2 linked regions of the Lepisosteus oculatus genome follow. The protein of the gene in region 1 interacts with the protein of each later gene in a pairwise test. Links are inferred from orthologs where the notes say so. Each region holds a gene or a part of one and is shown in the gene's direction. Other genes may lie near its edges. The genes, in order: ndufaf3 and NADH dehydrogenase [ubiquinone] 1 alpha subcomplex assembly factor 4-like.

Region 1 (15,023 bases):
GTACAGTGAGAGTGAGACAGGATAAGAGTGTCCAGTGATGTTGACAGAGGGGCACAGTGAGAGTGAGACAGGATAAGAGTGTCCAGTGATGTTGACAGAGGGGTACAGTGAGAGTGAGACAGGATAAGAGTGTCCAGTGATGTTGACAGAGGGGTACAGTGAGAGTGAGACAGGATAAGAGTGTCCAGTGATGTTGACAGAGGGGTACAGTGAGAGTGAGACAGGATAAGAGTGTCCAGTGATGTTGACAGAGGGGTACAGTGAGAGTGAGACAGGATAAGAGTGTCCAGTGATGTTGACAGAGGGGTACAGTGAGAGTGAGACAGGATAAGAGTGTCCAGTGATGTTGACAGAGGGGTACAGTGAGAGTGAGACAGGATAAGAGTGTCCAGTGATGTTGACAGAGGGGTACAGTGACAGTGAGACAGGACAAGAGTGTCCAGTGATGTTGACAGAGGGGTACAGTGAGAGTGAGACAGGATAAGAGTGTCCAGTGATGTTGACAGAGGGGTACAGTGAGAGTGAGACAGGATAAGAGTGTCCAGTGATGTTGACAGAGGGGCACAGTGAGAGTGAGACAGGATAAGAGTGTCCAGTGATGTTGACAGAGGGGTACAGTGAGAGTGAGACAGGATAAGAGTGTCCAGTGATGTTGACAGAGGGGCACAGTGACAGTGAGACAGGACAAGAGTGTCCAGTAATGTTGACAGTGGGGTACAGTGAAGCTAAGAGTGTCCAGTGACGTCACTGAGTGAGATGCACAGAGAATGTGATATAGCAAGAGTGCCCAATGAGTGCAGTGGCGTTCTCACCCAGGCAGGTGGTCAGACTGGGATCGTATCCCTGCAGCCTCTGCTCCTGGATCACCCTCCTGATGTCCACACGTATGCGTCTCCCCACTTTCTCACTGCTGGCACCCCCTGCCGCCTCAAGGTCACCAGCTCCTGCCTCCTCAGCGTAGGGGGACTTCAGCAGAGCCTCCCACAGCGCTTGCTCTGTCTCCCGATTGGTCCACCCCGTGGACACCGTGGGCCAATCAACTCCCAGCAGTCGGAGAAATGAGATGATGTCACTTCCTTCCTCTAGGACCGGGCACAGGGAGACACTGAACCTGAGAGAGACAGGCAGCGTGACACAGAGATGGAGTGAACAAGACAATTGTTATTGGCAGGTTACTTCTCGGTATATTAGCCTGTACCATCATCATTATCAGTTCTGCCAATCCATTTTCTGACAGTTTGATCCAGTACAGGGTCCCAGGAGAGCCAGAGGCTATCCCAGGAAGGAATGAGTGCAAAGCAGGATACACCTAGGACAACATGGCAGCCCATTGCAGGGCACACAGAGAGAGAGACGCACACAGAGACGCACACAGAGACGCACACAGAGACGCACACAGAGACGCACACAGAGAGAGACAGAGAGAGACAGAGAGAGACAGAGAGAGACAGAGAGAGACAGAGAGATGCACACAGAGACGCACACACGGAGAGTCGCACACAGAGAGAGACAGAGAGAGACGCACACACGGAGAGACACACACAGACACCGATTTTCCATGCATTTCACCGAGCTGGACAGACTCGTCCTCCTTCGTCTGTAACCACATCCTCTCCTGCCTCTGCCTCTCCCTTCCGATCTCTGTTTTGCTTTTACGTTGTATACAACAGTAACTCTGCTGGCCATCCAAAGAGGTAAAAATGTGTCCCTGGCATCACCGCCAGAGAAAAACTACAAAAATCAGTCTAGTCAACAGTCAGTCAGCGCCCCCCCCCAGCTCTACTCACCCTTGCTTGCGAAACAGCGCCGCCAGGTGGTCAGTGACGAGCACAGCGCGCAGCTGGCCGAGAGAGAGGGAGCTGGAGGAGGGCCGGGGGTGCAAGACGGGGCAGTTCAGCACCACCCCCCTGCCCAGCTGCCCCGGGGGGGGGCCCAGGTACAGGGAGGGGTGCTCCAGGACGTCCCGGAACACGGCGGGGCGATCGGCTCGAACCCGCAGCCCCGCTGCGCTCGCCTCACACGCCCCCAGCGGGAGCAGGCCCGGCGCCTGCAGGGACAGCAGTCTCTGGACCACGGGCCCCGGGACCTGTGGCACACACACGGGGGAACAGGGGCCTGTCACCGGCTCTCTGTCTGCCTGCGCACCATCCCTCCTCGATCCTCTAGAGACCCCACCATCCCTCCTCGATCCTCTAGGGACCCCTCGATCCTCTAGAGACCCCTCTAGAGACCCCACCATCCCTCCTCGATCCTCTAGAGACCCCTCTAGAGACGCCACCTTCCCTCCTCGATCCTCTAGAGATCCCTCGATCCTCTAGAGACCCCACCATCCCTCCCCGATCCTCTAGAGACCCCTCGATCCTCTAGAGACCCCACCATCCCTCCTCGATCCTCTAGAGACCCCTCGATCCTCTAAAGACCCCACAATCCCTCCTCGATCCTCTAGAGACCCCAACATCCCTCCTCGATCCTCTAGAGACCCCTCGATCCTCTAGAGACCCCACCATCCCTCCTCGATCCTCTAGAGACCCCTCTAGAGACCCCAACATCCCTCCCCGATCCTCTAGAGACCCCACCATCCCTCCTCGATCCTCTAGACCCCTCGATCCCTCTATCTTCTAGAGACCCCTCGATCCTCTAGAGACCCTGCCATCACTAGATCCCTCTATCCACTCCTCTACCCCTCCATCTGTATATTCTTCCACTACCACCCCTCCGCTCCCAGCAGCACGGAGCTCAGCGCTGTCGGCTTCACGCCGCGGTGCAGCGAGCGGGTCCAGTCCGGTCCAGTCGCGGGCCCGGGGACCCTGTCCGCCGTCAGATGACGGGCCGGTGCCCGGCAGCGAAACACCGGCGAAGGAAAACTCTCACATCCGAGTCCAGCCCGGCGCGACAGCCACTTACCTGCCCGTCGGGGTACAGTTTTTTCAGCACGGCGGCCGGCGCTAAGAAATCTCTGCTGCGGAGGTTTTTCGCGCTGCTCTCCTTGAACCAGAGCCCCCCCGGGCCGGCCGAGCTGCTCCGGCCGAGCGGGGAGCGCTGCGAGCCGGCGTCAGCCTCCAGGTCGCCCCGCAGCGCGGAGCTCAGAGCTCGGACCGTGCAGCTGATCCGAAGGGGCGACCCCTCCGCACCCTCCATTATGCATACGAAAGCGCGACCGTTTTCTCAAGTTAAAAATAAATCATTTCTTTTTTTTTTAAATATATTTTTCTTACATCAGTTAATAACCCTACAGTCTTCAGTACACGTTTCCAGCTCGTGAAAATTCACTCCCGGGTGGAACCTTGCAGTCGTTACCCGTTGTTTTCGGGGGGAATTTCACCCGAGAGCAACAATCTCGACACGTGACGTTTTGGTCCTGGAGTCACATCGTCGCCATCTTGTGTGTGGCTAAAGCTGTCAAAAGTCGACTTTTTCTAATCAATCTTTTAAAATAATAACGCGTATATATATAAAGTAAAACCAAACAAGTGTTTACTTTTGTATTAAATATCATTTATTGTGTTTGTCATAAAGTTCATACAATGTGTTCAAGAGCTCGACGAAAGATTAACTAAGTAAGGCAATTTCGACAAACATTGCTAAGACCTTGGTGTAGGTCCTGTTTTTGTGTCTCTCACTTTGTCTCTGGGTTACGGCAATTACACTTCCCTGTGACACTCTCTAACATTCTCTAACACTTCTTCTTTCACTTTTTCATGAATGAATTACAGTGTTGCAAAAACAATGACAGGTAGCAAGACACAAGATCAGATCACTTTATCGGCCATATTCCATTTCTTGTATTAGGAATCTGTCTTATCGCAGACCCCAGCTTGCTCTCCATGACACACAAACAGGGAGAGAAGCTGGGGGTCAGAGCGCAGGGTCAGCCGTTTATACGGCGCCCCTGGAGCAGTTGGGGTTAAGGGCCTTGCTCAGGGGCCCAACGGAGTAGGATTCCTCTGCCAGCCGCGGGATACGAACTGGCAACCTTCCAGCCACAGGCGCAGATCCTAAGCCATAGAGACACCTCACCGCCCCATGATGTCAAATGTTTATATCCAAAACAGAATGATCTGAGTGGCACTCCTATGTTCTTCAGTTAGCTGCACATCCAGCCCTGTCTGTCTTTGTGTGAGTGTTTGTGTGTTTTCATGTGACAGTAGTCATTCTGATTCTTCTCTTTCTTGGGAATGAAGGGATCGTGTTAGTGGTGTCTTCTCCAGCCAGTGAATCCAATATGCTGTCCACCTGGTCACAGCCAAGCACTGAGGACGGGGGATAAAGGGTTTGTCATGCACATGAGCGATCGGAGCAAATGTGGACCAGAATTCCCCAAACCCTCTCGCCTAACCTTACTCTCAGAGCACCTTGTATGAGGGGGCCCGGCCGGCTGTGACTGGACAGCGACACTACGGCCCTCTCTCTGCCTCGACGGGTGTCCTGGGCCGTCAGTCTTGGCTGACACGAGTTTCCCGATGGCTCCTGTGGGTCTGGCGAACCGGGAGAAAACGTGTCATTCCAGAGTGCAGCCTCCCTCCGTGACATCACTCCCAGCCAATGAGAGCACCTGCACATCATAGAGGAGCGGCTGTTCCTTCAGGACATCTGCCTGCAGCCCCTCCCCTGCTCCAGCTGACACCTGTCTCTGCAGGGCCTCTGCCTCCCTCTCTCTGTTACCCCAGTTACCTCTTTCCCTCCACACTGCTCCGTCTCTTTCTGTCCTTCTGTCCCCTCTGTCTCTTTATACCCCCCACTCCTATCTCTCTATCTTACTGCCCTCTCCTGTCTCTCTCTCTCTCTCTGCCCCCTCTCCTGTCTGTCTCACTATTTCTGCCCCCTCTCCTGTCTATTTCTTCCCATCTCCTGTCTATTTCTGCCCCTCTCTGCCCCCTCTCCTGTCTGTCTCACTATTTCTGCCCCCTCCCATCTCTCTCTCTATCTCTCTCTCTGCCCCTCTCCTGTCTATTTCTGCCCCCTCTCCTGTCTGTCTCCCTCTTTCTGCCCCTCTCCTGTCTATTTCTGCCCCTCTCCCATCTCTCTCTCTCTCTGCCCCTCTCCTGTCTCTCTCCCCCTCTCTCTGCCCCTCTCCTGTCTCTCTCTCCCTCTCTCTGCCCCTCTCCCATCTCTCTCTCTCTCTGCCCCTCTCCTGTATCTCCCCCTCTCTCTGCCCCTCTCCTGTCTCTCTCTCCCTCTCTCTGCCCCTCTCCTGTCTCTCTCTCCCTCTCTCTGCCCCTCTCCTGTCTCTCTCTCCCTCTCTCTGCCCCTCTCCTGTCTCTCTCTCCCTCTCTCTGCCCCTCTCCTGTATCTCCCCCTCTCTCTGCCCCTCTCCTGTCTCTCTCCCCCTCTCTCTGCCCCTCTCCTGTCTCTCTCTCTCTGCCCCTCTCCTGTCTCTCTCTCCCTCTCTCTGCCCCTCCCCCAGCTCTCCTCTGTTCTGGAAAGCCCCGGTTTCGGACTCTTTCACTTTCAGTAACTGACTAGCACACCCACACGGCCTGCTTCCTGTTTGTGGTGGAGTGCGCCCGCACACATACAGTACTGTACACACACTGTAAGCTGCCCACGCCGGCACACAGGCACACACTCCCCCCCTCTCCTGCCCCTCTCTCCCCCTCCTCTCCTGCCCCTCACCCTCCCTCTCTGCCTCCCACTCCCCCCTTCCTGGTTCCTGGTCTTCCTGGGGTTGCCCGTTGCCATGGCGTAGGAGTGGGTACGGAACCCGCAATCAGCTGGGTCGTCTCGGTAACAGCTGCATTATGGGTTCCGTTACCGACCCGCACGCTGACATCATCGGGACGTGTCTGAGCGGTTGTCTTCGGCCTGCCCGCGGCCGGCGGGGGCGCCGTCACGTGACCTCAGCACCAGCCAGGGAGAAAGCAGGAGAGGCCGCTAATGGGAAGAGCAGAAGTTACTGCAAGCAGGTGACAAGAGGGGGCCATAGTTCCCCAAGAGCTCCTCCCATCCCTGAGCCCAAAGACACTTCCACACAGCATCAAGCCCGGGTGGGACAGGAGTCTGTGTCCCGTCCTGGAGCTCTTGTGCTGGACAGCCCCGTCAGACAGCGAAGTCTAGGACTGGCGTGGTATCGGCTTTTCAGGCTGTGTTCTTGTGCTCTGCTCAGGTCTAATGTAACCTTTAACCTTTAACCAAGACGGACAGACACAATCTCTTCGTGCTGCAGCAGGGCAAATAAAAACTTCTACCGTTACAGTTTCCTATCCTTTTCCCTCTCCCTCCCAGTTCCAGTCAAATCTGTTTTAATGTAATATGTCCAACACGCTGCCAAAGCTTTCCACATGGAACATCCTCTATCTCTTTCTCTCCCTCTCTGCCTTCAGAGAGAATCGCTGGCGTGTCTGAGGAATCACACTGTTGCCAAAACAATAAGAAAGCAACTGCACGTATTTACAACAATACTATTTTCTGTGGTGTTATTATTAGTGTTAGAGAGGCGTGCTCTGCGCTCCTTAGGGTGTGACAGGTGATCACATACTGGGCTACAGCTGTATTGAAATTCAAAGAGCTGTACTGGCCTGTGTGATGAATGAATGTTGCCAAACTCTGTTTCTCCAATCCAGATCCAAAAAGCTTTACTGATGTGGACAACAAAACACAATGTTTCTAAAGTTCTAGCAATAAGCTCTCTCAGTCTTTGTCTCACTTGTCTCTCTTTGTCTCTCTGTCTCTCTCCCAGTCTCTGTCTCATTCAGAGGTGGACACGTGAAGGAAAGATTAAAAACAAGATAACAAGAGAAATGTAATTTCACGCCATGCTGCAGCAGAGAAAACGCTTTCTAAATTTAAAGCGAAAAACGGGGGCACCGTTTTAAAAATTCAGCCAACGAAGACGGCAGATTGCTCGTTTGAGATGAGAAACGATTTTTCCTTCCAGTCACGACATCAGGCTGTAACGGATTCTATATTCTTCCCCGTGAAGTACGTCAGGTTTCTGTGTTGCGGTGTGTACCCTGACCCCCCACACTCAGACAAAAGAGCGAGGGGTCGCGGTACCCCAGCAGCGCGCGCTGATCCAGACCTGGCCGTGCCAGACTGCTCAGAGAAACGCCCAGGGGCCCACAGCTCTCGGATCGAAGGCAACTCACCGTCTCTGGGCACGCGGTGCGCCTGATCCGCCAGCCCCTCCGCCGTCCGCCCGCTGTGCTGGAACCCAGCGAAGCCCCTGCCGTATTTATGAGCCCTGACTTCCTCTTGTCAGCCAGGCTGAGAGTCATTTTCACTTTCTTTTTCTCTGTAACTGAATCCTCTGTAACCTCTCTGGCTGCCCCTCCCTCCCTCGCTCCAACCCTCTTCCCTCTCTCCTCCACTTCTCTTGCTCTCTCCACCTCTTCTGCCCCCACTTGTCCGCCTCTGTGCCCTCAGTCCCCCTCTCTCCCCCTCTGCCCCAGCCCGGCACCCTGCTCTCCTCCAGGGTCATGACCCCCAGGAGGTGCCCAGCACAGGACCAGATTGCTCTTCCTCAAACAGGCCTACTCGCTATTCTAGAAAGCATATTTAATGGAAGTTATTCTCTGAAGTTCGGGAGGGATAACCAGGACAAGTCAATCTCACACGGCGGTACCTGATCACCGTCATTACAGAAATTAGCTCTACATATCAAGCACAAACCCCTCCCTTCACAGGCGTCCCCCCCAGCCCATCTCCTCCCTGCTTCTGCCCCCGGGTCACTCCCGAATGGGGTCCGAGCTCCTCGCCCTGTGGCCAGGAGGCTGACCGCTGACCAAGCAGGCCGAGCCAAACCTGCCCCCCCAGATCCCCCCCCCCACATGCTCAAAGCGCCCTGTTCTTGGACGTTGTCGTCCCTGGTGAGATCAGCATTAGTGATCCTTTCCTGTCAAGTCACTCATTGAAGTGCCCAGTGCTCCCAGTCTCCAGATGGAGAGCGGACATGTCCCACTGCCACCTGAGCTGTGAGTTAAGCAGTAGACTGAAAGGGCCGCAGGGGCCTATCCTGCCACGCAATGAGCAGAAGGCGAGGTACGCTCTGGGTGGCACGCCAGTCACTCACAGCAGGGCCAGTTTTCCCAGAAGCCAATTAACCCACCAGCATGTCTTTGGAAAATGTGAGGCAACTGGAGCGCCCGGAGGACACCCCCCCCACACACACACACACATATATATACGGGGAGAACATGCAAACTCCACGCACACAGCACCCTAGGTCGGGAATCGAACCCAGGGCCCCAGGACTGCACACTGCCCTACCACCGTACCACCTGAAATGCCCAATTCAGTTAATTTGATGTATAGGGAATTCGCCACATTGTGCTAGGAGCAGGCTTGGATTCTCGGCAGCTGGGTGTGATTGAAAAGCATGTTCCTGTAGGTAGCAGATTGGGTTTGGGGGAGGGGTGCCGTATCAGTTATCAGTGCCCCCACCCCAACCCCCTTGGGAAGATCAGATGACGTTGCTGGAATGAGGCTGGAAAGTCCCGTGGTTTCAGCGGTGGGATACTCGCCTGGGAAATGTCGCTCAGAATCCCATGTCTGTCCGACCCGTCCCGCTTTTCAGTTTCTCCACCTGGCCTTTCAGGTTTCCCCGAGAATTCACGGTGAAACACAGGCGCAGAACCGCCGGGACTGAGGCCTCTGTGGACCATCTGTTAGTCTCAGCCCAGTGATCCAGAACATCCATGGAGCTGCTTCTGCAACTGTCACCAGCGGCTTGGAGCCAGACTCCACAGTACTGGAGACAAGGCTCACCTGACACGTCGGGCAATTTGAATGCTTTTAACTCGACATCCAAACATCCTGATGACTCTTGCACATTGCTTCCGTAGAAGAAGAGACAATGTGATGTGGTGATAATGTTGACTCCAGATCTGACCCCTGTCAAGCACTATAATTCCCTGCTGTATTCGGGCAGCAGAAATCTAGGAGGCAGGTGGAAACTTCTTACGGCTTGACAGTTATCAGCACTGCGGGACAGTGTAACGGGCAGTGGTCAGTACAGTGAGACGGTCACTCAGTGTAACGGGCAGTGGTCAGTAGTGTGAGATGGTCACTCAGTGTAATGGGCAGTGGTCAGTACAGTGAGAGAGTCACTCAGTGTAATGGGCAGTGGTCAGTACAGTGAGACGGTGGCTCAGTGTAATGGGCAGTGGTCAGTACTGTGAGAGAGTCACTCAGTGTAACAGATAGTGGTAAGTACAATGAGACGGTCACTCAGTGTAACGGGCAGTGGTCAGTACTGTGAGATGGTCACTCAGTGTAATGGCCAGTGGTCAGTACAGTGAGAGAGAGTAAGTCACTGTGACTGTGAGAGAGTCACTCAGTGTAATGGCCAGTGGTCAGTACTGTGAGACGGTAGCTCAGTGTAACGGCCAGTGGTCAGTACAGTGAGACGGTCACTCAGTGTAACGGCCAGTGGTCAGTACAGTGAGACGGTCACTCAGTGTAACGGCCAGTGGTCAGTACAGTGAGACGGTCACTCAGTGTAATGGCCAGTGGTCAGTTCTGTGAGACAGTCACTCAGTGTAACAGATAGTGGTCGGTACTGTGAGACGGTCACTCAGTGTAATGGGCAGTGGTCAGTACAGTGAGACGGTGGCTCAGTGTAATGGGCAGTGGTCAGTACTGTGAGAGAGTCACTCAGTGTAATGGGCTGTGCTCAGTACTGTGAGAGTCAATCGGTGTATGGAACACTGACCAGACCTGGGGAACTGAATGGCCTGGGGGTCAGTCTATATGCCTGAGGTTCTGGGTGTCTGTGGTTCTGCTGTCTGTCTGTGGTTCTTCTGTCTGTCTGGGTTTCTTACTCTCTGTTGTTCTGCTGTCTGTCTGTAGTACATGTTTCCTATGCTGTAAGATCTAAGTTTTACATATAGATAACATACCTGGATTTGACTGTCCTCTTTCAGCTATGTATAAGATACAGCACTAAACCCCAGTCTTTCAGCCTGAACCATTTCCGTTTTAATTGAGGTGAACTGGTTGAACTCCACCTCAGCAGCTGACAATTTCTAACGGACACATTGGGACCGCGGCACCTTCAGGATTGAAAGCATTTACTCCTGGGAAAGGAGTCAGCGACACAAATGACGCCCGCCTGCCCCCACCCAGGCCAGCTCTGATCACGGCCCGAGGGGGAGGCTGAGCTTGGAAAGGCGAACCCGTGACGGAGGATCTCCTGATGTGCCGTCCTGCACGCCTCACCAGCTTCGCCTAAACCCACTGGGGACCCACTGCCCGCCTCTGCCAGGACTGTGCTTTGTGCTGCAGACTCTTCCAGCTCCGTGGCGCCGTGTGCCAGGCAGGCCAAGTCTCTCTCTCCCTGTTCCCCTTGGCACCTCACCACTCACTTCTGCTTTCGACCGAAGAGGGAAGAGAGACTGGAAGAGCCTGTTTACTCACGCTGGCCAAGCGGGGCACACACCAACAGCTGCTCCGGGAACACTCCCACACCTACACGTACACCCTTCACCGCGCACACTGACGAACTTACACCCCTTCACCGCGCACACTGACGAACTTACACCCCTTCACTGCGCACACTGACGAACTTACACCCCTGTACTGCACACACTTGTGAACTTACATCCCTTCACTGCGCACACTGACGAACTTACACCCCTGTACTGCACACACTTGTGAACTTACATCTCTTCACTGCGCACACTGACGAACTTACACCCCTGTACTGCACACACTCGTGAACTTACATCTCTTCACTGCGCACACTTGTGAACTTACATCTCTTCACTGCACACACTTGTGAACTTACATCTCTTCACTGCACACACTTGTGAACTTACATCTCTTCACTGCGCACACTTGTGAACTTACATCTTTTCACTGCACACACTTGTGAACTTACATCTCTTCACTGCACACACTTGTGAACTTACATCTCTTCACTGCGCACACTTGTGAACTTACATCTCTTCACTGCGCACACTTGTGAACTTACACTTCCACACTGGGCACACTCGTGAATTTACACCTCTTCACTGCGCACACTGACGAACTTACACCCCTGTACTGCACACACTCGTGAACTTACATCTCTTCACTGCGCACACTTGTGACCTTACACTTCTATACTGGGCACACTCGTGAATTTACACCTCTTCACTGGGTACACTCATGAACTTACAAACCCCTATACTGCACACACTCGTGAACTTACACATCTTCACCGCGCACAATGATGAACTTACACCCCTGTACTGCACACACTTGTGAACTTACATCTCTTCACTGCACACACTTGTGAACTTACATCTCTTCACTGCGCACACTTGTGAACTTACACTTCCACACTGCGCACACTCGTGAACTTTGACTTCTACACTGCGCACACTCGTGAACTTTGACCTCTACACCTCTATATATGCGTGGAGTGTCCAGAAAAGCGCTATATACGTGTAAGCAATTATTATTATTATTATTGGTTGATTATGGCCATGTGTACACGTACATTGGAATTCTTAATCGCGTTGATCTCTCGGGACAGACACTACAACAGACAACACCACACAGTGTAGACAGTACAGTACAGACATAATCAATAGTAACAACAGGAACAATCAATATGTAGTAGTGAGGGGAAAAACCATGGTAGACTGTGCAGAGTGCAGATGTGTGTGGAGTCAGAGGCTCTGCAGTGGGACAGAAGCTGAACATTAAGAACATTCGTGTTGGCCATTTTGCTATTAGTTTTAGAAAACGTTCCTTTAGAAGGTACTCCAGGTGGGGGTGGAGGGGATCCCCATTACCTGGAAAGCGCGTTGAGTGGAGTGTCCAGAAAAGCGCTATATAAGTGTAAGCAATTATTATTATTATTATTATTATTATTAGCACTAAGCACACAGCGAAATGATTTTGGACGAGACGATCTGTCTTCGACGCTCAAAGCAGAGCCCGTATTATTTTAGCCAAGGCGAGTTCATTTCCGTGCCAGTAGGGGGCAGCACCAACCGCTTTACGTCAACGTCGACGCTCCTCCACCTTCCCATCGGCCCTCCGTCTCTTCCGCCGGCCCCCGCAGTGTGTGTGCCGCAGTAAATCTCTTCCCTCCGGCCTCCTCGGCTGTCGTGCGGTTCCGTGCTGGAGGAGCCATGGCGCTGGCGGGGTGCGTTCGGCTGCTGTCCCGCGGTTCGGCGCCCGGTCTTCGGCTTGGACGGGGGGCGCTGCCCGCTACCACAAGGTAAGACGCTCCTATCGCGGTGTGCGTCTGCGCTTTTGTAGTAACACTAAAAACGCGCTTTTCAACACTGTTTGACCTTCGTTAGCGCTCGCATTCGTTCTGCGCCTGGAGAGATCAGGTGGACTTCCAGACGGGTTTCTGCGCTCCTGTGCGGGACCGACCTTGGTTATTGATTTGGTTGTTTAAGTTCTGAGTGAGTTCGACTGAAATGTTCCCGGTACTGTAAAAGGATCTCATGCCGTAGGAGATTCTCTTCATCGCTTTTGGGGATCAAAATCTGAAACGAGCTGCCCGAACGCGGATTTTGTTAAGCTGGAGGCCTGTGTGCAATTACAGTATAGATTTTCTTTTTAGTATTTTTTGACTCCTGAATTTTGGCACATTCTACTGGGTTTCAGACTTTCTCAGTATTATAACTGACGGCTTCTTTGTTCTTGTGTTGTTTCTCTCTCCCCTCTCATCTCTCCTTTCCATCACGCCTTCCTTCCACTCTCTTCTCTCCCCTCCTCTCCCATCTCCCTGTCTCTCTCTCTCCTCTCCCTCTGTTTTCTCCACGTGTCTCTCAGCCCCCCCCTCAGCCGCTCTCACAGGTTGACCCCCAGCGATGATGAGCTGTACCAGCGGACCTCGGTGTCGGTTCTGCAAAAGGAAGGGGGTGCGGCTCTGATCCAGAGCTACAGCCCCCGGGGGTTCCTGGTGGATGGGAACCGAGTGCTCGGACCCTGTGCTCTGCTGCCCCCTGCCATCCTGCAGTGGAATGTCAGTGTGTACTGAACTGCTCAGTGCGTGACTGTCTCTCTGCCTTCTTGTTTCTGTGTTTCTCCCCTGTTACTACCCCTCTCTCTCTGTCTCCCCCTGCAGGTGGGCAGTTACAAAGACATCTGTGAAGAGAGCCTGGCCCTGTTCCACCTGCTGGAGCCCAGGATAGGTGAGAGAGAGAGAGTGCACCGTGTCGTACCTGTACGGTGTCTGTACCGCCCCTGTGTGGCAGTGCAGGAGAACAGCACCTCTGTGTAAGACCCTGTGTCCGTCACACTGCTGCAGCACCGTCTCTCTCTCTCTCTCTCTGGTCCCAGAGATCCTGGTCCTGGGGACAGGGGCCAGCGTGGAGCGCCTCGACCCGCAGGTTCTGGCGTTCATGAGGAGGAAGGGGATCGCGGTGGAGGTCCAGGACACGGTGAGGCGGGGTGGGCAGCTGCTGGACATGGGGACACATGGCGGACGGGGAGTGTGGGGCGTTGCAGTTGTTCAGAGGAAGAAGCTGCCATCTTACAAATCGCACTTGACCTGTTCCGTTCATCCGGACTAAACTGTGCTAATCCCAGATCCCGAGACAGCGGCCCCGTGGGAACTGTAGTTTCTACAGGCAGTTACAGCAGGGCTTCGATGGGCATGTCTTCCCAGCAGCGCCGTGCGAAATGGGTGATAGAAAACAGGCCAGACTGGGAGAGGCTCAAGACTTCTTTTTGAAGAAGCAAGTCGTGAGACTTATTTTTGGATGAGGACTCGTGCGACGAGAAATGTGTATCAGGCTTGATCGCATCGGCTGAGGGCTGGCGTGTCCTTTCGCACAACGCCAGCCTGCGCAGGGTCTGCTCTCGGTGCCGTCCGCTGACCCTCACCCACATCAGATAGCTGTTCTGCTTCTAGACAGGTGCATTTGGGGTTAGTGAAATAATGATGGGGACAAAGAGGAGACTATTTATAATAATAATAATTGCTTACACTTATATAGCGCTTTTCTGGACACTCCACTCAAAGCGCTTTACAGGTAATGGGGACTCCCCTCCACCACCACCAATGTGTAGCATCCACCTGGTAAGGGCCAATTGGAAATTTGGCCAGGACACCGGGGTTACACCCCTACTCTTTTCGAGAAGCGCCCTGGGATTTTTAATGACCACAGAGAGTCAGGACCTCGGTTTTACGTCTCATCCGAAGGACGGCGCCTGTTTACAGTATAGTGTCCCCATCACTATACTGGGGCATTAGGACCCACATGGACCACAGGGTGAGCGCCCCCTGCTGGCCCCACTAACACCTCTTCCAGCAGCAACCTTAGTTTTTCCCAGGAGGTCTCCCACCCAGGTACTGACCAGGCTCACACCTGCTTAGCTTCAGTGGGCTGCCAGTTGTGAGATGCAGGGTGATATGGCTGCTTATATTTGCTGTAATTAAGTGCAGGCCTTCATCAGGGCTTGTGATGAAGCTCTAGTTGATGAAAATACCTCTTTATTTTACCCCACCTCATGCTTTCTACCCCCTCCCCCCCCCCTCTCTCCAGCCCAACGCCTGCGCCACCTTCAACTTCCTGTGCAGTGAGCGGCGGATCGTGGCGGCCGGCTTGATCCCGCCTCCCGTCGTCAGGACCGACGCGGACTGAGGCCCGAGGGCGGGGGGGGGGTCCACACACGCACACAGGAAGTGGTGCGGCCAGCGCCGCCCAGGGGGACATGAGGAAGGTATCCGGGCGGGAGGGGCCCCTGACCGGCCCCTCATGCCCCTGGGGCTGTCCTGCAGCTTGGGCTCAGCACAACCGCAAGGAACTGTCGAAGTATTAAACTCCACTCAGGGTTTAACCAGGACCGTTAAAGCACTTCAGCCACTTGCAAGCAGACGAGCTGGCCCCTGGTTTGCGTGGGAGAACAGCCGTGCTTCAGATCCAGGAGAGAGGCCTGTCTGTGTCCCTCCTTCCACGTGTGTCGACATCCAGGTCCCTCACTCCCACAGGCATGGTGTCGCTGTGATCCTGCTCAACTCCGCCCACAAGGCCAGCCTGCAGGGTCTCTGTGCGTCAGTGTCTCGTGTCACTTGGTAGCTGTTTGCCGTGTGTTAAACAGGTGTATTTAATAAGCGTCAATAAAGTATCCCTTTC
Region 2 (15,346 bases), on another chromosome or scaffold:
TATCTGAGTGCTCTCCCTGTGTTCACGTGGGTTTCCTCCAGCTGCTTCAGTTTCCTCTCACAGTCCAAACTCATACAGCTAGGTTAACTGTCTCCTAGAAACACTGGCCCTGGTGTGAGTGTGCCTGTGTGCCCTGCGATGGACTGCTGTCCTGTCCTGTCCAGGGTGTGTCCCATTTTTTACGGTGCTTGCCAGGATAGGCGTCAGCTCTCCTGCAACTCGTGAGTGGATGAAGCAGTTAGGAAGTGGATGGATGGATTGTTTATATTATTGTAATCACCATGGGCCTGTTCACAGCTGGAGGTGGGCCTGTAGTCTGGGTTTCTGAGTTCACGAACTAAAAATATTAGACAACTTCATCATGATAAATCAAGCAATTTAGAGATCATATCAGACCAGATTCTGAGTACCTCTCTCAGCTCTCTTCAGTAACCAAAAGATTCCTAAATGGAACTTGCTTACTTCACTGATACCTTAAATGTGTTTCCTATCATGTGAAACCACTGATATGTAAGACTAGCTGGGCTGGTGCTCTACAGGACCAGGGATGGAGACCTCTACCATATACAGTAGGTATAATAGGAGCCTAGGAGCTTTCTTACTATGTACAGTTTAGTGCTTACTGTGTAATTTGTCCAAGAGGGGTTGGAGTTTTACCAAGCTGGGAAGTACCTGGAAATTAACCAAAAGTGTTCAAGATTCTTTAGGTGTTTTGAGTAGTAGGTACAGTACTGTAGAACTGGGAATCTATTGGCAGGATTTCTGTAGTAAAAATTCAATCTAAGCATGTAGTGCTGCATTCTCAACCCGCATGAGTACTCCAGCACTACTCTATTGCCTCCTGTACCTCTTTATAATACTGTACCTTGCTGTTAGATATGGACAAAGGAATGAAAAATGGTAAAAAAAAACAATTAACAACCATGTTAATGATCCACTCAACTGTGCTGATGTACAGGTAATATATAGTACATGCCAATGTCGTAGTTTGTCAGATAATCGGTGAAGAACTTTAGATTTCCTTGTTCCCCAGGCTGATTTTATGTGGTGGTATGTGGTGTTTTTCTGTGTTGGGCCATGCATTTTTCTGTATTAAGAAGATTATTCCCAGATGTAGCATGTAGAATGCTGATGCAATAAAGGTGGAGTGGATTATGAAAAAAAATCAAACAGCTTGTGCATGTTTTTCCATGAGAGACTAGTGTTTGTCACATGTTCGAGCAAACAGTTTTTTTTATTAACTTCTACATTCTATAAATCTTGCATCACTATTCAGGAAATATGCAGTATTCTCTAGAAAACCAAAATATCGGAGGTTAAATATTTTCGTGAGATATAAATCATGGCAAGAATTAAAGATGTTGGCAGTATTCCTCACACAATTAATTTAAATGACCGTTTTTCCTGAAATCATCATTCACTCTTTAAAATGTAACTCAGGTTCAAGCTTAGTTACGTTGTTTCTGAGAAACTCTGACAGATATCGGAGATCATAGCACATAACTACCACTTCCTCTGCTTTTAATAAGTGGAAAAGATTGCAATGACTATTTTAAAGGCTTTTTCCTTCTTGTTATTTGCTGCCGCCTACTGGTAATACCTATTAACACCACTTGAAAGTTCGTCCTGAATACAGTGACCGCAGCGATAAACTCAACGAGTTTCAAAAAATATTCAAAAATATTTTTTTATTTAATTAAAAAACATTTTTTATTTAGTCAACAGCTTCAATATTTGCTTGTATTGATCTACACCAAACAGCCAATTATTTCATTTCTGTTTTATGTGGAAAATAGTTTACGAAGCTAATTTGTGAGATCTGTGTTCATTAGCCTAAAAATGTACAGTAACTTAAACAATCTTAAAAGACAGACACATCGCCTAAATTAATTAACTCCCAGGCACTTAAAACTGCTGACCATCTCCACTGAAGTGCCATTGATGTAAATAGGTGTGTGATCTCCTCCCTGGTGTTTCCTATAATCCATAATCATCTCCTTAGTCTTACTGATGCTCAGAGAGAGGTTGTTCTCCTGGCACCATGCCGCCAGGGTTTCAACCTCCTCCCTGTACTCAGACTCTTCACCATCTGTGAGCAGGCTGATGACTGTTGTATCGTCTACAAACTTAATGATGGAGTTTGTGTTATGCCTGGCGACACAATCATGAGTAAATAAGGAGTAGAGGACAGGGCTAAGCACACAGTCTTGGGGGGCTCCAGTGTTTAGAGTCAGGGTAGAGGATATGTTGGTGCCCACCTTCACCACCTGCGGACGTTCTGTCAAGAAGTCCAGGATCCAGGTACAGAGGGAGGTGTTCAGTCCCAGGTCCTGGAGCTTGATGACAAGCTTTGAGGGCAATATGGTATTGAATGCTGAGCTGTAATCAATAAACACCATTCTCACATACAGTTCTGTATGTTCCTTTCTTATCCAGGTGTGAGAGGGCAGTATTGAGGGCAGTGGCAATAGCATCTTCTGTTGACCTGTTCTGGCGATACGCAAATTGTAGTGGGACTGGGGGTGTCAGGCAGTGAGGAGGTGATGTATGCTTTGACCACTCGAAGCACTTCATGATAACTGATGTGAGTGTAACGGGGCTGCAGTCATTAAGGCAACTGACTCTGGGTTTCTTAGGGACAGGGACGATGGTGGTTTTCTTAAGCAGGAAGGAACTATAGACTGAGCTAGAGAAAGATTAAATACAGTATGTCCAAGAAGACATAAGACAGAAGAAATTAGTTCAGGTGGGTAGCTGCGTCAGCGTGCGTAGGCTGCAAAGGAACAAGTAATAGGTTTATTCCATGCTGAAAAAAAAGAAGAAATAGAACACAACGTTTCGGCCGTGGAGCCTTCTTCAGGTGTCATAAATAATTTTTCAACAAACTTCAGATCAGATCAGATCACTTTATTGGCCATATACAATTTCTTGTTTTGGGAATTTTAGTCTTTTTACATACCCCAGCCTGCTCTCCATGAGACACCCAGACAGGGAGGGAAGCTGGGGGTCAGAGTGCAGGGTCAACCATTTATACTGCACCCCTGGAGCAGCTGGGGTTAAGGGCCTCGCTCAGGGGCCCAGTGGAGTAGGATTCCTCTGCCAGCCATGGGATATGAACCAGCATCCTTCCAGCCACAGGCACAGATCCTTAGCTACAGAGCCACCCCTCCACCCTATATGTATATATGTCTTTTTTCAGCATGGAATAAACCTATTACTTGTTCCTAGACAGAAGAAATGTCTGTTTAGGAAACGCCCAACATATATACAATTAAAAGATACGTGCAGAAGTGTTATTCTTGTAAAGAATATTTGCCGTTTAAAATTGACAAACCTGCGGTGTCTCGACTCCCATCAATCAATTATATTTTAAAATATTTTTTACCATACAGATTATAATGTTGCATTTTGTCGTTACTTATTAGCAGCCTAACAAACGTTAGTTAGGTATAGTATTTCAATTTATACAATATGGTTGCTCAAAGTTCTCATAATCTATAGTATGGTTTCAGTACAAAAATGAGGGGGGAATTGATATCAGAAAATAAATCGTCAAAAATAGAGTCTCGGAGGTTTATTTCTGGATATAATAAGTTCGCTGCCTGGTTTTACTCGCATTTAACTCATCCGTGGACACAAGAGTGACCTCTTCCATGCACGGGTATTCAATGTTGGTTTTGTTTGTTCCTTGTCACTTTCCGTAGAAAGTTCGGCTGTCTGACCATAATGTTTCACGGAGTGCGATAAAATTGTATTACGAAGTGAAATATGGGGTCGCTTGTTTTATGTGCGTTCAGAAATTTTAAACTGGAAAACTGTGCTCACAAACCTTCAGCGGCGCCTTGACCAAAGGCATTATACAGCAAATAAAAGAAATTCGAAAAACATCAGTGAGCAATTTGGCATTGACGAGGTTGTGTAACGTGTAGTGCATTAAATGGGTTACACAGACACAAGCGATGTTTTTTCATAGACAATTGTGATATTTTATCTCATGTACTATGCTTAAATAATGTTTCTTGTCGTACATACAGTCTTTTGATAGCCACTGTATGTATCACATGCTGCATAAATAGTTAATTCATGTTTGCCTTCTACCACCTTGAGGTTAAGAATACTTAATATTATTCTACTGGGTACAGGAACACTGATCTCTGACTGACTAATCTGCATTTTTGGAGAAGGCATACAGTAATATGTGTGGGACATGCAGCAGAGACGTGTTTTTCTGCTTATTTTTCCTCATTATATTCTTGTGGCCATAACCTTGCTCATGAGATGATTCTCTTGTTCATGTTTGTGTATGTTGTTTTCTGTGTTTTCTATATTGTCTGCTGCTGTAAACAATTGCCCATTCGGAATACTAAAGACATTTATTCCCTCGCACTTATTTTCCTCTTTCTTACATGTTGTAAACTTCTGGTGTTTCAATTCTTGCAGAACCCGATGAAGACAAAAATTCCAAGTAAAAATGAAGAGGAGTGCAGGCCTTGCAAATCCCGTGTAGTGGGAAACCCCTATGGCATTTTGGACATTAAAGACATCCCAAAAGGAAAACTGTCCATTGTGGAGGCCTTGACCGTCCTCAACAACTACAAACACTCTCCTAAATCTTGGACACCTAATAAAATAGCCCAAGAGTACTCTTTAGACTTAAAGGATACCAAGGCACTTCTGGAATTCTTCATTCTCTTTGATGTTAAAATTATACCACCAAAGACTGAAGACAAGAAGCAGATAAAAGCTAACTAACAGTCTTCATCACTGATCTGTTTTAGAAATATTAATGTAATCATCCTGGACATTTGTACAACATTGCTCAGGCTACAAGATGCAGTTCCTTGATTGGTTTTAAACGAGATTAGATAAAAATGATTAAGGAATAAAAACAATGTTGTAAAGATTCATTTTATATTTCATTTTATATCTGCCATTCTTGTATTGTAAAAGTGCTTGTATTTTTTGTGGTTGAATTAAACTTCATTATGTGTTGCTTTGTATAAGAAGTAATCCATATTTTAATATTGAATTAGTAAATAGCCACGAGCAACATATATACACAGGCTCTCGTCTTTTATTGGTTCATCTTTAGTCTCTTCTCGTCGATCCCAGATCAATTGAAACTGAATCTTTTATTCCCAAAGGCTTGTAAATGGAATTATTTAAACAGGTAGGCAAACAAACTTAATACATCAGAAGTCAGAAAAAAATATAAAATGCATCTTTTGCTATATTGAAATTAAATCTTATAAACTAGCACTGCTAGTTACACAAACCATTTTGAACATTTATTTTCTGAAGTGGTCTCTGCAGGTTTGGTGCTGTATGAAAAAAGCATGCTACGAAAGCTGCTACCTTATAGAAAGTTGCTATTATGTTATTGTTTTATATTAATTTCTGCAGTAGTTAAACATTTGCATTTTACAATGCCAAGATGATATGACCACAGGGTAAACTGGGAAAATATAGTACAGAAATTGTAAACAAACTGTCCTTGTAAATCAGATTTTTGTCCTATAGGCCTCTGATATTTGATATTTCTGTCAATTAGCAAGTAATCTTTTCTTTTCATAATACTGCTTGAAGAATGGTGTTGACTGTGACTTAACATATTCATCACAGGAGCATTGTCATCTAATTTTGAGGTGTGGCTCAATAATAATTCACATTCTTTCTCGTTATTTGCTGCCGCCTTCTGGTAACGCCTATTAACACCACTTGAAAGTTAGTGCTGAATACAGTGACCGTAGTGATAAACTCTACCAAAAAAGTGTTTGAACTCACGGGGACAGTGGGTCTGTAAAAATATATTTTTTTATTTAATTAAAAAAAACATTTTTTTATTTAGTCAACAGCTGCACTATTTCCTTTTATTGATCTACACCAAACAGCGAATTATTTCATTTCTGTTTTATATGGTTATTGGTTTGCTAAGCCAATTTGTGAGATCTGTGTTCACTAGCCTAAAAATCGAATTTAAACAATCTTAAAAGACAGACACATCCCCTAAACTAATAAAATACATTAACTGGCTTCCAGGAAAATTCTCCCGGTGTGAGTGTGTGTGCCCTGTGATGGACTGTCGCGTCCGTCCGGGATATATCCCTCTGTGCGCCCTTTGGAAAGGCTCTGGCTGCCCTTGCCCTGCTACCCTGAATTGGAAGAAGCTGGGAGCGAAAATAATTCTATATCTTTTTCTTATGGCCCAATATTTTATTTTTTCAAGATCCCCCCCCCCTCAAGTTACATATATTTGAAGTAAAAAAAAATATTTCACTTGAAATCGTTCCTCATTATTTTCAGTGCATCCATCTATCCATTTTCTAACCGTTTCATCCAAATACAGGGTCGCAGACACAGACATGCAACACACTCACGCCGGAGTATATGAGTATGTCTTTGGACTGTGGGAGGAAACCCACGTCGTGATCATGGGGACAGGGTGCAAACGCCATGCAGCATCTCAGCAATTTAACCCAGGGCCCCACCGTAGCGAGACAGCAATGCTAATGTACTGCACAGAGGAAACGCCCTACACAGTCATTTACAATTAAAATATATGTGCAAACGAATAGTTGCCGTTTACAATTGACAAACCTGCGGTGTCCCGAATCCTATCAATCGGTGATATTCTGAAATATTGTTTACCTTACAGATTATAATGTTGCATTTTATCGTTACTTATTAGCAGCTTAACAAACATCTGTTAGGTATAGTATTTCAATTTATACAATATGGTTGCTCAGAGTTCTCATAGTCTATAGTGTGGTTTCAGTGGAATTACAAGAATGGTAATAATAATAAACCTTATTTTATATAGCGCCTTTAAAGGTGGCTTATCAAAGCGCTTTACAGAATGACAACGACAATAAATTAAAAGAATACACAAGATAAAACACAATTACAATATACAGAGGAGACCGTGGATGGGGTAGTAGGAAAAGCAGAGGGGTGAAGAATGGAACCAGTTAAGTAAATGCTCTTCTAAAGAAGAAGGTTTTGAGTCTGGATTTGAAGGAGTTCAGAGAAGGTGACTCTCTGGTATCCTTGCGCAGAGAGTTCCAGAGCTTGTTGGCATAACAGGAGAAGGCCCTGTCGCCCATACAATGTAGACGGGCTTGGGGGACAGTAAGGAGGGCAGAATTTGAAGAGCGAAGGTTCTGATGTGGGGAGTAGGGCTATAATAGTTTAGACAGGTACTGAGGTGCCAAGCCATGCAGAGCCTTATAGGCGAGCATGAGGATTTTAAGGTCCACACGGAATTTGACAGGAAGCCAGTGCAAGGACCCCGGGATAGGAGTAATGTGATCACTTGCACTATACCTCGTCAGGATTCTGGCTGCCAAATATTAGACAAACTGGAGTTTGTTCAATGTGGAGTTAGATACCCCAGAAAGTCGAGCATTACAGCAGTCAATTCGAGAGAACACAAATGTGTTGATCAGCTTTTCACCCACAGTTAGTGACAGCACAGGGCGTAGTCTAGCGATATTTCTGAGGTGAAAAAAAGATGTTTTGACAATATGCTGCACATGTGGGTCGAATGTTAAGCCAGAATCGAATATCACCTCAAGGTTTTTCAATTTAGACAGAAGCTCAAGTACAGACCCATCTACGAATGAGGAGGCTATTGATATAAAAGAATAAATCGTGAAATACAGAGTCTCGGATGTTTATTTCTGGATATATTAAATTCGCTGCCTGATCTTACTCGCATTGAACTCATCCGCTGTGACACAAGAGTGACGTCTTTTATGCACTGGTTTTCAAGGTTGGTTGTGTTTGTTCCTTGTCCCTTTCCGTAGAAAGTTCGGCTGTCTGACCATAACGTTTCACGGAGTGCGATAAAATTGTATTATGAAGTGAAATATGGGGTCGCGTGTTTCACGTGCGTTCAGAAATTTTAATCTGGAAAACCGGGCTCACAAGGAGATAAGCAAATCCAAACCTTCAGCGGCGCCTCATCACCCTTTGACTAAAGGCATCATACAGCAAATTAAAGAAAGTAAGTCGAAAAACACCAGTGAGCAATTTGTCATTGACGAGGTTGTGTAACGTGTAGTGCATTGAATGAGTTACACAGACACACGCGATGCTTTTTCATAGATAATTGTGATATTTTATCTTATGTACTCTACTTAAATCATGTTCCTTGTTTAACATTTAACCTATTTAATGTAACGATATTTATTCTTGAAATATCAACATCATGTCAGTGACATTGAAGTCTTAGTAAATTTATTGAATATGCCAAGAATTACCAGTAAATTCGATGACCATTTCCCTTACTAGAGTATCGATTTAGATTTGTTAAGCTTTTTGCGACATCGTTAAACTGAAACAAGAAGAATTTTAAGTCAAGGGGTTTTATGTAAACTGAGCTGTGACCTTGTACTTAAGAATGCAGTATAAATGTGTGATTAATATTTAAATTTTAAAGTATTTTGAAAGGAAAATATTTTAACATTAACTAGGTCCACTTCCTGCAGTTGTACTTAACTAAACGAAATTTTAAACGAGGTATTCATCTCATACATGGTATAATTGTACATGGGGCTGCACTTGATGTACTGTTTTTTAATTGTTTTTATATTGGTTGGTCAATTCTGTAATTACCTGAACATTTGGGATGTTTTCCATGGGGGTAACCTAAAGAATATACTTAAGGGAAGTTCTGTCTTCACATTTCTGTAAAAAGAAGCAAAATGAGTTAAGGCTCTTTTTTCTTGTACCTGTTCTAACAAGGGCAGTATATTTTGTGCAGTGGTTAAAACTGCTGCCTCGCAACACAGGGGCCCTGGGTTCAATTCTGGATCTGGGGTGCTGTCTGTGTAGAGTTTGCATGTTCCCCCCCGTGGGTTTCCCAAGGATTTCCTTCCACAGTCCCAAAACATATTGGTTGGTTAATTGGCATCTGGGAAAGTTGGCCCTGGTGTGTGGGTGTGACCAGGATATGTCAGATTTTGAAAGCGTAAAGGAAAAAGCATATTTCCAAAACCCTCATCTATGTCTAAGGCTTCTGTTTCGCAAAGCTGTAGCAAAGCATAGCAGATGGTAAGTGCAGCACTTCACTTTATAGTTTGGTAAATCTATTGTGTTACAGGTGTGAAATAATGTCGACTCTAGAGAATAAACGTCAGCTTTAAAGACAAGAGAATTCTAGAAAATAAAACCTACTTAATTGTTTTCTTTCTCACTTGTTGATATAGATCCTGAGGCTACTGAATCCATCAATAAGAAGAATGAGCATCTTTTGTCATTACTAAAGACAGTATATGTGGAGTCAAAAGACCCTCCCCAACAGGTAAGAACAGTTTTGCTGGAATGCTTATCCCAATGTGAAACAAAGCCCTGTTCACTTTTCCCAGACAAAATATAGCCAGGAGCTCACAGTCTCCCTTGATTAATTAACTCTTGATTCCCATTTTCCCCCAATTTATTCAACCCATATGAATAATGTATTATTAATAATAAATAATTGCTTACACTTTTATAGCACTTTTCTGAACACCGCACTCAAAGCACTTTAAAGTTAATTGGGATCCCGTCCACCACCACCAGTGTGCAGCCCCACCTGGACAGCAGCCATAGTTCACCAGTACACTCCCCATGCACCAGCTCTCAGTGGGGAGGAGAACAGAGTGATGAAGCCAATTTATAGATGGGGATTATTAGGAGGTTATGATTGGTCAGGGGCAATGGTAAATTTGGCCAGGACACCGGGGTTACACCCCTACTCGATTCGAGAAACACCCTGGGATTTTTAATGACCACCGAGAGTCAGGACCTCAGTTTTATGTCTCATCCGAAAGGACGGCTTCTTTTTACAGTATAGTGTCCCCATCACTATACTGGGGCATTAGGACCCACACAGACTGTAGGGAGAGCACCCCCTACAGGCACCACTAACACCTCTTACAGCAGCAGCCTTAGTTTGCCTCCCATCCAGGTGCTGACCAGGCTCACACTTGCTGAGCTTCAATGGGCTGACAGCTGTGAGTTGCAGGGTGATATAGTTGCTGGAATAATAGTATTGTCACTTTCAAAAGTATTCTCCCCCTTGATTTTTTAGATTTTGTTGCAATAAGAAATCAATGGGATTTTTTGCCATTTATTGACACAAAACATTATAATTTCAAAGTGAAAACAAAATTCTACAGCTCTGCCTATATTAATTTAAAAAATAAAACAGAAAATAACTGATTCCAGCAGTATTCACCCCCCTTGAAATCAAATAATATTTGTTAGAGGCACATTTGGCAGAAATTACAGCTGCGAGTCCTTATTTGATAGCCAGTGTACAGTATGTATCACTTCAATTGTTTATTAATGTTTGCCTTCAGCCACTTTGAGGTTAAGAATACGAAATATTATTGTACTGGGTAGAGGATCACTGATTTCTGAGTAACTAATCTGCATATATCATAATATATGTGGTACATGCAGAAGAGGTCTGAGTGATATTCTGCTTATTTTTCCTTATTATTATCTTGTGGCCATAACCTTGCTTATGAGATGATTCTCTAGTTCATGTTTATGTGTGGTGTTTGTTTTCTGTGTTTTCTATATTGTCTATATTTTCGATATAGAAAAAATGCCCATTGGGATTACTAAAGACATTCATTCCCTCTTTTTCTCCTCTTTCTTACATGTTGTAAATTCTTGTGTTTCAATTCTTGCAGAACCCGATGAAGACAAAAATTCCAAGTAAAAATGAAGAGGAGTGCAGGCCTTGCAAATCCCGTGTAGTGGGAAACCCCTATGGCATTTTGGACATTAAAGACATCCCAAAAGGAAAACTGTCCATTGTGGAGGCCTTGACCGTCCTCAACAACTACAAACACTCTCCTAAATCTTGGACACCTAATAAAATAGCCCAAGAGTACTCTTTAGACTTAAAGGATACCAAGGCACTTCTGGAATTCTTCATTCTCTTTGACGTTAAAATTATACCACCAAAGACTGAAGACAAGAAGCAGATAAAAGCTAACTAACAGTCTTCATCACTGATCTGTTGTAGAAAAATTAATGTAATCATCCTCTTTTGTTTGAAATGTATTTTTTGGTTAATATTTTCTGGACATTTGTACTGCATTGCCCAGGCTACAAGATGCAGTTCCTTGATTGGTTTTAAACAATGTTAAATAAAAATGATTAAGGAATAAAAAAATGTTGCAAAGATTAATTTAATATTTCATTTCATATTTGCTGTTCTTGTATTGTAAAAGTGATTGTATTTTTTGTGGTTGAATTGAACTATATTAAGTGTCCCTTTGTATAAGAAGTAATCCATATTTTAATGTTGAATTAGTAAATGAGCAACATATATACAGTACACAGACATATATACACAGACTCTCGTCTTTTATTGGTCCAACTTTAGTCTTTTCTCATCGATCCCAGATCAATAGAAACTGAATCTTTTATTCCCACAGGCTTGTAAACAGAATTATTTTAACAGGTAGGCAAAACAATACATCAGAAATCAGAAAAAGACACATAAAATGCATCTTTTGCTATATTGAAATTAAACCCTTATAAACTAGCACTACTAGTTACACAAACCATTTTGAACATTTTTTTCTGAAGTGGTCTCTGCAGGTTTGGTGCTGTATGAAAAAAGCATGCTACGAAAGCTGCTACCTTATAGAAAGTGGTTATTATGTTATTGTTTTATGTTAGTTTCTGCAGTACTTAAATGTAACACATTTGCATTTTACAATGCTAAGATGATATGACCTCGGGTTGATTTGGAAGACATAATACAGAAATTGAAAAAAACTGTCCTTGTAAATCATTTTTTTGTCCTATAGTCCTCTGATATTTGATATTTCTGTCAATTAGCAAGTAATCCTTTCTTTTCATAATACTGCTTGAAGAATGGTGTTGACTGTGACTTAACATATTTATCACAGGAGCATTGTCACCTAATTTTGAGGTGTGGCTCAGTAATACTTCATATGATTGTAATAACTATTTAATATAAATGCTGTGTGGATAACAAACAACTTCCCAGGACTATATGTTCTATGATAAGATGTACAGTATATCAATAGATGTGGCGAATGGCTCAAGTGAAAAAGAGCAACTCTGGTTTTTAAATGTGGACCTGCAAGAGTTTGATGCAGCACAAAATTGAAGCTTTTAGATTATTTCATTAATTTATACCATATTAAGTTAAAATATATTAAGCAAAAAGGCATTCAAGTAGATAAAATTATAACCACTTGATGTGTGTTGTAATGTAGTGAGAATGCAGCGGTGAATTGAATACGTACAAGGTCTGACATGTTTCTTCTTCTTGTATAAGTCATTCATCTTTACAGTACTTTATGAAACCCATCCATTTTCTCACAGCTTCATCCACTCACAGAGGAGCCAGAGTCTGCCCAGGCAAGGAATGGGCACAAGGCAGGATACAAGTTGGACGGGAAGCCTATCCATCACAGGGCAGACAGGCACACATTCACAAATGAACTTACCCAGACGCCACCAGTCTTTGGACTTTTGGAAGAAACCTAGGTGAGCACAGGAAGGACACAAACAGCACCCCAGATTTGGAATTGAACCCAGGTCACCTTATGAAATAACTGAGATGAAGAAACTTGACATATAGAGACTTGACAATTATAATAATAATAATAATAATAATAATAAAACATAAGCTTACAACAAAGCTATCTTGGAAGTGCAGGACACAAAATAGGGTGCACATACAGTGATATACTGTACAGCGGTTCTCTGGAGTCCTGGGCAGCTGGTGAGCACGTACACAAACGGGAGAAGAATCTTTCAACTTTACTCAGAACGTACTCCCATCTGGCAATAAACTCAGGACCCAGAAGCTCTGACCATGCTGACCTTCTTAAAACCAGATTTCTTGTTAAACAAAAAACATTTGTTTTGAGCTAAAGTACCCAAGGACCTATATGGCTGAAACGACCGTTTCTAAATGTCATCATATGCTCCTGTTTCATTTTGAAAAATCTTTCAAGTCATTATTTTATATACGAATTTGAACATAGATATTATAAGAAATTCCCCATGTTTTTTAGAATATTTGTATTTTCTCATTTTTACATCATTGACTTTGATTATTCAACCAAGTCAGTTTGCCATAAGTGTTCCCAGTTATGAAATAGATTTGGCATTGTTTCTCAGCTCCAGAAAAGCACAAATAGTAGATTCTAGGTTTATTTTATCTTAGGAAACGTACACAGGGATCTGTCAAATGATAGTAAACTGAAATCAAATGATAACTATTTTCTTTTATTCTGTGATTCTGTCTTTCTCCCTGCATCATTTACTGTTGTACATTATACATACAAAATCTATCATAGTGAAAGGCATTGCTTTTGGACAGCTACTGATTGCTAAAGATATGGGTTTTCTTGTAACAATTTTGTTTCTGTATTGAAAGGGAAATGTTGCCCTGTGCAGTTCTGCTCAGTGATACAAGTTACAGTTAACCTGCAAATGAATTATTTTTAATGTACATTTTTGAGCTGTATGTTTCTGACTAACAATTGCAGCACATTGGTGCTTTTATTATACTTATTTTTATGTTCTTTCACTTTGATTATTATTTCTCCTTTGATTTCTTAGCATAAAATGTTTCTTTACAGTTTAGATTTCGCCCACAGAGATTAAAAATATTTAACTACAGGTTTTATTGCATTTTCAGATACAGAGAGCAAGATTAGCTCCAACAATGAATATGAGTCATAATGTATCCTGACTCACAGATACTGTCCTTGAGCATTCCCAAATGTGTTTTTTTTCTGTTTTTGAAATTATATTTTTTTACTGCCCACCAATAAAAAACTGAATATTGTACATTTTGTTCTATCATGTTTTACTCCCTTCTTGAGGTTAATACATGTGTATTTCATTGCAATTTTTTAATGAGTTTTTAACCATGTAATAATGCTGTGGTTCTCTGTAGTCTCTTACATTTGGGAATAAGAGATGTAATTAGAAATAAAAAAGAATTCTTATCAAAAAGCATTAGATACATTTTCAATTAATTAACTCAGGACTTCAGTATTGCAAGGTGCAAGTTTATACACAAGGCAGGAAGATGTAAGCAACACAATCTATTATTTTCAGTGCTAACATCTGCTGTTTCTGAGTAATAGAAACTCAATCTGTGTGCACATCCCAGGAGCACAGTGCAAATAAAAATCCCAATGTAAATGTACATATGGCGAATAAAGTCCTCTTTTTTCTCTCATGTGAATTGTTAAAAAATGGAATTGACCAAAAACTGAAAAGTTTTAAATACATTTTTGGCTTTGGCTGCTTATCTTTAAAACTATCTGCTATTTATTCATAAAAAAAAACAGAGGACAGATTATAGGTAAGAAATCAATTTAAAAATGCATTAGTTAGAATACAGTATATGAAAAATAATTCAGAGACACTGTGTTAGGATTGGTTTAAGTTATCAGTAGGCATAACAACCCACCTATATCACAAGGTTCAATTACAATTTCTGTGTATTTTTTTATAGTTAAAAATTACAGCTCTGATAAAATTGGCTTTTTTTAAAAATCACATCTTGTGGAATAACAAATACATCAATACAGAAATAACAATTAACTAGTCCTTTTCCGAAAATTGCCATCTTCGTTTCGCTTTTGTTTCCATGCAATAAAGTCAATATATACAAATCAATACAACAGCATTAAAAAAGGACATACAAAATATGAAGTCACTACAAAACAGCTGTTACTGATAAAAAGAAATCTATAATTTCTCATAGATTTAAACTAAACCGACATTAGATTTTCATGCTACACAAACTTAGAGACATTGAAAAAGCAACAAAATGAGTGTTGGGACTAAGCAACTCACTTTTTTAATGCTTATCAATGTATTTAAAATGATTGAATAAACCTCTTATGTAATATAAAAACAGCATCTTTGTAATAAAAATACATCAGGTAGATTAAAAAACTTAAGGAGGGCACTTACTCTCAGTAATCCAACAGAAAATCAGAAACGCACCTTTACATAAATCAACAGATTTTTTTTGTATTGAATTCTACATAATGCATAAATAGCATAATATGAATACAACAACCTGTGGGACTAGTAACAGTGGGATTGGATTTTTGTTTCTCATAGCAAAACAGAACATTTGCCATCTGAGCCCAACCCTGTCCACGGCAAAGTGCTGCCGAGATATCAAGACTCTTGCTTACACTAATGATAATTCTTTCTGATTCATATAGTGCTTTTCATCCCAAAGTGCTTTTACAAAGGAGGGGGACATGCTTCATCGAGCACTGAAATACCCGGGCCATAATATACCAGCAACCCCACTACACCGCAGGCGGGCAGA

Evidence for each region.
Region 2: the proteins of ndufaf3 (region 1) and NADH dehydrogenase [ubiquinone] 1 alpha subcomplex assembly factor 4-like interact in binary tests that used the Homo sapiens proteins (3 or more experiments, as listed by UniProt). The two-hybrid records come from large-scale screens. The link is inferred for Lepisosteus oculatus from reciprocal best matches to the Homo sapiens genes NDUFAF3 and NDUFAF4.

Annotation. Positions count from the first base shown.
Region 1 is NC_090699.1:65,566,446-65,581,468, forward strand, and holds the start of ndufaf3 (NADH dehydrogenase [ubiquinone] 1 alpha subcomplex assembly factor 3), read left to right. Parts: upstream 1-11,996; 5' UTR 11,997-12,059; coding exon 12,060-12,148; intron 12,149-12,714; coding exon 12,715-12,907; intron 12,908-13,009; coding exon 13,010-13,076; intron 13,077-13,224; coding exon 13,225-13,325; intron 13,326-14,432; coding exon 14,433-14,531; 3' UTR 14,532-15,023. Other genes in the region: dalrd3 (DALR anticodon-binding domain-containing protein 3), read right to left, coding at 813-1,111, 1,788-2,086, 2,905-3,138. UniProt on the Homo sapiens protein: Essential factor for the assembly of mitochondrial NADH:ubiquinone oxidoreductase complex (complex I).
Region 2 is NC_090697.1:6,374,618-6,389,963, forward strand, and holds NADH dehydrogenase [ubiquinone] 1 alpha subcomplex assembly factor 4-like, read left to right. Parts: upstream 1-7,806; 5' UTR 7,807-7,869; coding exon 7,870-8,005; intron 8,006-9,209; coding exon 9,210-9,304; intron 9,305-10,682; coding exon 10,683-10,994; 3' UTR 10,995-11,185; downstream 11,186-15,346. Other genes in the region: ndufaf4 (NADH dehydrogenase [ubiquinone] 1 alpha subcomplex assembly factor 4), read left to right, coding at 3,769-3,837, 4,441-4,752. UniProt on the Homo sapiens protein: Involved in the assembly of mitochondrial NADH:ubiquinone oxidoreductase complex (complex I). May be involved in cell proliferation and survival of hormone-dependent tumor cells. May be a regulator of breast tumor cell invasion.